2 linked regions of the Saccharomyces cerevisiae S288C genome follow. The gene in region 2 interacts genetically with the main gene of each other region. Each region holds a gene or a part of one and is shown on either strand. Other genes may lie near its edges. The genes, in order: SUC2 and HXT7.

The links.
Region 1: mutations in HXT7 (region 2) and SUC2 together harm fitness more than expected from each alone (negative genetic interaction), as found in Saccharomyces cerevisiae (one large-scale study listed by BioGRID).

Annotation. Positions count from the first base shown.
Region 1 is NC_001141.2:35,500-39,625, forward strand, and holds SUC2 (beta-fructofuranosidase SUC2), read left to right. Parts: upstream 1-1,885; coding exon 1,886-3,484; downstream 3,485-4,126. Other genes in the region: YIL163C (uncharacterized protein), read right to left, coding at 1,400-1,753; SMU2 (Smu2p), read left to right, coding at 3,934-4,126.
Region 2 is NC_001136.10:1,153,690-1,158,005, forward strand, and holds HXT7 (hexose transporter HXT7), read right to left. Parts: upstream 2,240-4,316; coding exon 527-2,239; downstream 1-526. UniProt on the Saccharomyces cerevisiae protein: High-affinity glucose transporter.

The sequences.
Region 1 (4,126 bases), on a different chromosome or scaffold from region 2:
GAAAAATGCATAAATATCTTCTCTAGTTTGTGCGTTTTCTTGTCGCCCTACCTCACAAAAGAGAAGTACTGATGGCTAATAATTGTTGGATCGATTCATTGTATCTCTTAAATGTCAACAGAGCATAAGTCAGACTCTTTGCCATTTTTAAAAAGCTGCGAAGGCGAACGTGACTACGGGGTGCGGGTTTTTGTATTGCTAATGTAGCATGACAGCTTATCCAATGTTTTGTTGTGTTCATTCAAACTATTTTGAGCCTCACTTCAATTTTGTTTGACTACTAACATGGCAGCATGCGTCGTTTCTAGGTGCTAGCCAGGCTGTGAGAACGTAAAATTAGCCTATGTTCAACATTCTCTGCTTTTCAATGTCACTGTTCATTTTGTTACTATGAAAGTAGTTCGTCGCAATTTGTACTTTTCTTCGAAAGTCTTCTTTTGCAGTAGATGAAGTGTGTTCTGAGAAATTGATGCTTTCAAATGGCCTTAAAAAATTTTTGTATCATAGCTAACAACATACTGTTGCGCCAGGGGAAGTGAAATCATGGTTGTATATTACAATAGCATTATGTGCATTTACCAAGTATGGAAAAGCGGAAAGTGTGAAAGAAGTTTATGAAAAAAGCGGAAAATAAAAAAAAAAAGTTTATTTTCCTGTGACTTCTGGGAAGCAGTTAGACCTCCTTCGCTGTATTCTTAGGTGCTATACCTCATTTCCACGATGGTAATAGACGATCAGTCTATTAATGCGCTAAAGAACGTAGAAAAGTTATTAACTGAAGAAGCTTTGCTAATGCCGTCGCACATTAAACGGCTAGACATTGCCTTGAATAGGAAGCCGAATAATCTACGAAATATCATGGAGCTTCAGGGCCTTGCATATACTATAGTAAAAAAAAAACTAAGTTTTCCCCTGTAGTAAACAGGGAGATACCGTACGGAGGTCTGAATTCCCTACAGAAGTAGCTGTAAAAATTCAGAATTCGCAACAACCTATAATTGAGTTAAGTGCCTTTCCAAGCTAAAAAGTTTGAGGTTATAGGGGCTTAGCATCCACACGTCACAATCTCGGGTATCGAGTATAGTATGTAGAATTACGGCAGGAGGTTTCCCAATGAACAAAGGACAGGGGCACGGTGAGCTGTCGAAGGTATCCATTTTATCATGTTTCGTTTGTACAAGCACGACATACTAAGACATTTACCGTATGGGAGTTGTTGTCCTAGCGTAGTTCTCGCTCCCCCAGCAAAGCTCAAAAAAGTACGTCATTTAGAATAGTTTGTGAGCAAATTACCAGTCGGTATGCTACGTTAGAAAGGCCCACAGTATTCTTCTACCAAAGGCGTGCCTTTGTTGAACTCGATCCATTATGAGGGCTTCCATTATTCCCCGCATTTTTATTACTCTGAACAGGAATAAAAAGAAAAAACCCAGTTTAGGAAATTATCCGGGGGCGAAGAAATACGCGTAGCGTTAATCGACCCCACGTCCAGGGTTTTTCCATGGAGGTTTCTGGAAAAACTGACGAGGAATGTGATTATAAATCCCTTTATGTGATGTCTAAGACTTTTAAGGTACGCCCGATGTTTGCCTATTACCATCATAGAGACGTTTCTTTTCGAGGAATGCTTAAACGACTTTGTTTGACAAAAATGTTGCCTAAGGGCTCTATAGTAAACCATTTGGAAGAAAGATTTGACGACTTTTTTTTTTTGGATTTCGATCCTATAATCCTTCCTCCTGAAAAGAAACATATAAATAGATATGTATTATTCTTCAAAACATTCTCTTGTTCTTGTGCTTTTTTTTTACCATATATCTTACTTTTTTTTTTCTCTCAGAGAAACAAGCAAAACAAAAAGCTTTTCTTTTCACTAACGTATATGATGCTTTTGCAAGCTTTCCTTTTCCTTTTGGCTGGTTTTGCAGCCAAAATATCTGCATCAATGACAAACGAAACTAGCGATAGACCTTTGGTCCACTTCACACCCAACAAGGGCTGGATGAATGACCCAAATGGGTTGTGGTACGATGAAAAAGATGCCAAATGGCATCTGTACTTTCAATACAACCCAAATGACACCGTATGGGGTACGCCATTGTTTTGGGGCCATGCTACTTCCGATGATTTGACTAATTGGGAAGATCAACCCATTGCTATCGCTCCCAAGCGTAACGATTCAGGTGCTTTCTCTGGCTCCATGGTGGTTGATTACAACAACACGAGTGGGTTTTTCAATGATACTATTGATCCAAGACAAAGATGCGTTGCGATTTGGACTTATAACACTCCTGAAAGTGAAGAGCAATACATTAGCTATTCTCTTGATGGTGGTTACACTTTTACTGAATACCAAAAGAACCCTGTTTTAGCTGCCAACTCCACTCAATTCAGAGATCCAAAGGTGTTCTGGTATGAACCTTCTCAAAAATGGATTATGACGGCTGCCAAATCACAAGACTACAAAATTGAAATTTACTCCTCTGATGACTTGAAGTCCTGGAAGCTAGAATCTGCATTTGCCAATGAAGGTTTCTTAGGCTACCAATACGAATGTCCAGGTTTGATTGAAGTCCCAACTGAGCAAGATCCTTCCAAATCTTATTGGGTCATGTTTATTTCTATCAACCCAGGTGCACCTGCTGGCGGTTCCTTCAACCAATATTTTGTTGGATCCTTCAATGGTACTCATTTTGAAGCGTTTGACAATCAATCTAGAGTGGTAGATTTTGGTAAGGACTACTATGCCTTGCAAACTTTCTTCAACACTGACCCAACCTACGGTTCAGCATTAGGTATTGCCTGGGCTTCAAACTGGGAGTACAGTGCCTTTGTCCCAACTAACCCATGGAGATCATCCATGTCTTTGGTCCGCAAGTTTTCTTTGAACACTGAATATCAAGCTAATCCAGAGACTGAATTGATCAATTTGAAAGCCGAACCAATATTGAACATTAGTAATGCTGGTCCCTGGTCTCGTTTTGCTACTAACACAACTCTAACTAAGGCCAATTCTTACAATGTCGATTTGAGCAACTCGACTGGTACCCTAGAGTTTGAGTTGGTTTACGCTGTTAACACCACACAAACCATATCCAAATCCGTCTTTGCCGACTTATCACTTTGGTTCAAGGGTTTAGAAGATCCTGAAGAATATTTGAGAATGGGTTTTGAAGTCAGTGCTTCTTCCTTCTTTTTGGACCGTGGTAACTCTAAGGTCAAGTTTGTCAAGGAGAACCCATATTTCACAAACAGAATGTCTGTCAACAACCAACCATTCAAGTCTGAGAACGACCTAAGTTACTATAAAGTGTACGGCCTACTGGATCAAAACATCTTGGAATTGTACTTCAACGATGGAGATGTGGTTTCTACAAATACCTACTTCATGACCACCGGTAACGCTCTAGGATCTGTGAACATGACCACTGGTGTCGATAATTTGTTCTACATTGACAAGTTCCAAGTAAGGGAAGTAAAATAGAGGTTATAAAACTTATTGTCTTTTTTATTTTTTTCAAAAGCCATTCTAAAGGGCTTTAGCTAACGAGTGACGAATGTAAAACTTTATGATTTCAAAGAATACCTCCAAACCATTGAAAATGTATTTTTATTTTTATTTTCTCCCGACCCCAGTTACCTGGAATTTGTTCTTTATGTACTTTATATAAGTATAATTCTCTTAAAAATTTTTACTACTTTGCAATAGACATCATTTTTTCACGTAATAAACCCACAATCGTAATGTAGTTGCCTTACACTACTAGGATGGACCTTTTTGCCTTTATCTGTTTTGTTACTGACACAATGAAACCGGGTAAAGTATTAGTTATGTGAAAATTTAAAAGCATTAAGTAGAAGTATACCATATTGTAAAAAAAAAAAGCGTTGTCTTCTACGTAAAAGTGTTCTCAAAAAGAAGTAGTGAGGGAAATGGATACCAAGCTATCTGTAACAGGAGCTAAAAAATCTCAGGGAAAAGCTTCTGGTTTGGGAAACGAAGGAACTCCAATCGGGAATGAGGAGAGCACAAATAAAGCTAAAAATGGAAATAAAAAGCGGAATAAAAATCGAAACAGAAATAAGAAGACAGAGACAAAGGAACAAAATGAACCTAAACCTGTGA
Region 2 (4,316 bases):
ATTTCGTAACCTTATAATATCCTCTCCATAGATGCATTGTGAAAATTGAAGCTAAAAATTTTTTTCGCTTCGCATCATGAAAGTAATTTTTCTTCTTTTAAGTGACGGGCGATGAGTAAGAAAGAAATAACTGACTCATTAGACACTTTTTGAAGCGGGATACAGAAAAAGAAGATATTTCCCATTTCAAAAAGGCTCTACTATATCCTTACCATTTACCAAACTAACCAAAATTTGTAGACGTGGGTCTGCAGGCAAAATTGGAATATTTGTGAATAACAGTGCGGTCGGTAAACAACTGACTTCTTCCCACTTTGCATTTCTCTTTAAAGTTTCTTTGTCTCCGTCCCACTCAACTTTCTGAGAACAAATGATCAAAAACTTGAAAATTAAACTGTATTATTTTGTATATATTAAAAACGTATTTACTTTTCAAGATATCATTAAAAATATAAAATTAGAATTAGAGTACATTTCAAATGCACAAATTAGAGCGTGATCATGAATTAATAAAAGTGTTCGCAAATTATTTGGTGCTGAACATTCTCTTGTACAATGGCTTGTCATCGTGAGTCATTTCTTCAGCGTCGTAGTTGGCACCTCTTCTGGATGGTGGAACCCATGAGGCAGACTTCCATGGTAGAACACCTTCTTCCCACATGGTGTTGACTTCTTCCAAAGTCAAACCCTTAGTTTCTGGAACAACTAACAAAACATAGAAGAACATGAAGACCAAACAGCCCATGAAAACGTAACCGTAGTAGAAGTTAATAGCACCAGTAATAAATGGAGTGAAGAAACCAATCAAGAAACCCCACAACCAATTAGCAGCTGTAGCAATAGACATAGCCTTAGACTTGACTCTCAATGGGAAAGTTTCAGAAACAACGACATAAGGAATTGGAGCCCATGTAGTAGCAAAACAGAAAATATAGAAACAGGCAAAGACAATCATACAGTTACCAGCACCCTTGGAAGATGGTTGGTCTTGACCATTTGGCCATAATCTGGTGACACCCACGGAAGCATAGACAACCATACAAGCAGTCATGGATGCAGCACCCCATAGCAAACAAGTACGACGACCATATCTCTCAACAACGTAAATACCAACAAAGGTGGAAGCAAAGTTAACAATACCCAAGACAATAGAGGTTTCGAAAGAGTCACTCAAACCAACAGCCTTGAAAATAGTAGTACCATAGTAGAAGAAATAGTTATCACCTGTCAATTGTTGTAGAGATTGAATCATAGCACCCATGATCAAACGCTGAAGGACCTTTGTCTTGCTACTAAACAATTCACCCCAGGATGCATTACCAGCTAATTTCTCTGCCTCTACACCAGCCAAGACAGCTTCGACTTCAGCCAAAACAGATGGATCATCAACAGCAACCTTGTTAGAAACGGCAATAGAACGTTTGGCTTCTTCGATCTTACCGACTTCAGCCAAATAACGTGGAGACTCTGGAACAAATGTCATACCACCAATCATAAACAAAGCCCAGGCAAAACACAAACCTAATGGAACTCTCCATTGCACAGAGTTGGAGTAGTTCTTAGTACCGAAGTTGGTACAGTAACCCAAGAAAATACCGGCAGTAATCATCAATTGGTAGCAAGAGACTAAAGTACCCCTTAAATGCTTTGGGGATACTTCAGAAATCAACATAGGAGATAAAACGGCAATACCACCAACACCCAAACCGGAAATAATTCTACCGATGAAATATTGGTACCATTTGTTGATAGATGCAATTTGAATAATAATACCGATGATGTAGATGACAACAACGACAATCAAACCCACCTTACGACCGTACATATCACCCAATTTGGAAAGAATAATACCACCAATGGCACAACCAATGTTGAAAATGGAGACAATCAAACCAGTTCTAACCTTAGACAAATAATTAGTACCATCTTTATGCTTCATACCAAATCTTCTGATGAAATCGGTTTGATTGATGAAACCAGAAATGGTACCAGTATCCCAACCGAAAACGAAACCACCAAAGGCGATCATGATACACATAATAGAGACAGTGACATAGGCAGAAGCTGGTCTCTTTGGAATTTCAACGACAGGTTCGTGCTCTTCACCTTCACCATAAGCTTTTATTTCATCTCTTTCAGCCTTGTTTGATGGTGTAGATAAAACCGAGTGGGAGGCTGAGTCAACAGCAGAGAGATGCTCCACAGGAGTTTGCTCTGCAATAGCAGCGTCTTGTGACATTTTTTGATTAAAATTAAAAAAACTTTTTGTTTTTGTGTTTATTCTTTGTTCTTAGAAAAGACAAGTTGAGCTTGTTTGTTCTTGATGTTTTATTATTTTACAATAGCTGCAAATGAAGAATAGATTCGAACATTGTGAAGTATTGGCATATATCGTCTCTATTTATACTTTTTTTTTTTCAGTTCTAGTATATTTTGTATTTTCCTCCTTTTCATTCTTTCAGTTGCCAATAAGTTACAGGGGATCTCGAAAGATGGTGGGGATTTTTCCTTGAAAGACGACTTTTTGCCATCTAATTTTTCCTTGTTGCCTCTGAAAATTATCCAGCAGAAGCAAATGTAAAAGATGAACCTCAGAAGAACACGCAGGGGCCCGAAATTGTTCCTACGAGAAGTAGTGGGTCATAAAAAGTTTATTCCCTGGAAAAAAAATTTTGCGTTGCCTTTCTGGAGAATTTTTTCGAATTAGCGTGCTGCCACTGCATGCATTTCTGAGAAGTGTGGGCATTCTTCCACCAGTTGTTCCTCCTAAAAAAAAAAAAGATTTCCTACCCCGCACAAATTCCTGCATACCCCTCATTTCCACGGGGTAAAAAAAAAACATCCCGTAGCAGCCTCTGACGGAGCCGTATGGAACAATCCTGGATAAATATGGCGGAAAAACGGCTCTGGCTGCGGCTTTGTTTAAGGCAGAAACTAGATGAGATGTTTGTTGTTACGGAAAAAAAAATTTGTTGCGCTTTCTGTAGTGGGATTTGTCCTCATAACTTCTCCATGAAGGGGCCATTAAAATCTAGCCCTCTAGTAAAGCGTTATGGGAGCACTCTTGCGGCGTTCAACGGTGCTGCTTTTTCACTTTTACAGTATGATATGTCTTTCACATTGGGTTTTAGCTATAATTAGATAAAAATATTTTAAGTTGCTTTTGAAGTGTTTAGTAGGGCGTGTTTAGCAGGGCATGCTTAACAACCCCAAATGATCTTAGCGATGAGAGTACTATTTTCTAGGGTTGTTTTGTGCAGCCTGTTAATGTAGACATCAAGAAATTAAATGCGATCTTAATTCATTCGGAATTTCTTTTCACCGTGTGAATGAAATTTTTCGAGATGCTAAGTATAATAAAAATAAAAAAATAAAATCGCTTTTCTTCTAGAGAATTTTTCCGTGAGAAAGTAAAAACACATAATACTAGCTTAATAAACTTTTCTTTCCACCACCCATAGGATACGCTAACAATTTTTGCTGTCAACTGCTTGCCATTTTGTTTTCTTCCGACTACTATCACTTAGGGCTATTGGCAGTATATGCGTAATTTTATCAATTACCATACTTGTCAAACATAGATCAGGAAAAATATTAACGTTCCTGTCAATCTAAGACTTGAAGATTACAGGACTTTTTTTTTTCTTACTGTATTTTTCCGTAGAGTGCACCATTCGGCAGATGGATCGCGGGGAAATTGAGAGTTTATGCAAAAAAATCCGAAGGTGGAATTAAATGGGTCCCGCTTTGGAAAGCCCCGGATTTAATCCCCCATTAAGGCAAATTACTCCTCATCCTAGGTGGAGAAAAGAACCGGAAAAAAATGCAGTACCTTTTTTGTTCCCATTTCTTTTCCAAGTAAACAGGCGGAGAATCAAGCTGCTGCAGTTAGTTCTCAGAGTTCACTTAACGTTCTCCTGTAATAAACATAAGGAACAACCATCACCCCACACTTTTATCTCTTCCTCACTAACATTGTGTTAGCTTGCATGTTCTTTGAGACTAATGACCGATTGTTTGATCTCTTCTTCCGATTATTGCTGGTCCGATCCCTTGAGCATCGAAAACCAAACGACTGTTTAAGATCTGTAATTGATTAAGACCCATTGGCGATTACTCACTCATCGGCAAAAAAAAATGGTCTGAACATGCGTTGAAAATTTTGCTCCCATGAGATTTTTTGTCTCATGTAGTAATTATTTTATTTCTTGAGCAATCTGAGCTTCAACAAGACAGAAAACGAATATGGCAACTGTTATTTCGTTATATAGTGTTGCTGGTGACCGAACACAAAAATGATCTTAGAATTGTAACTC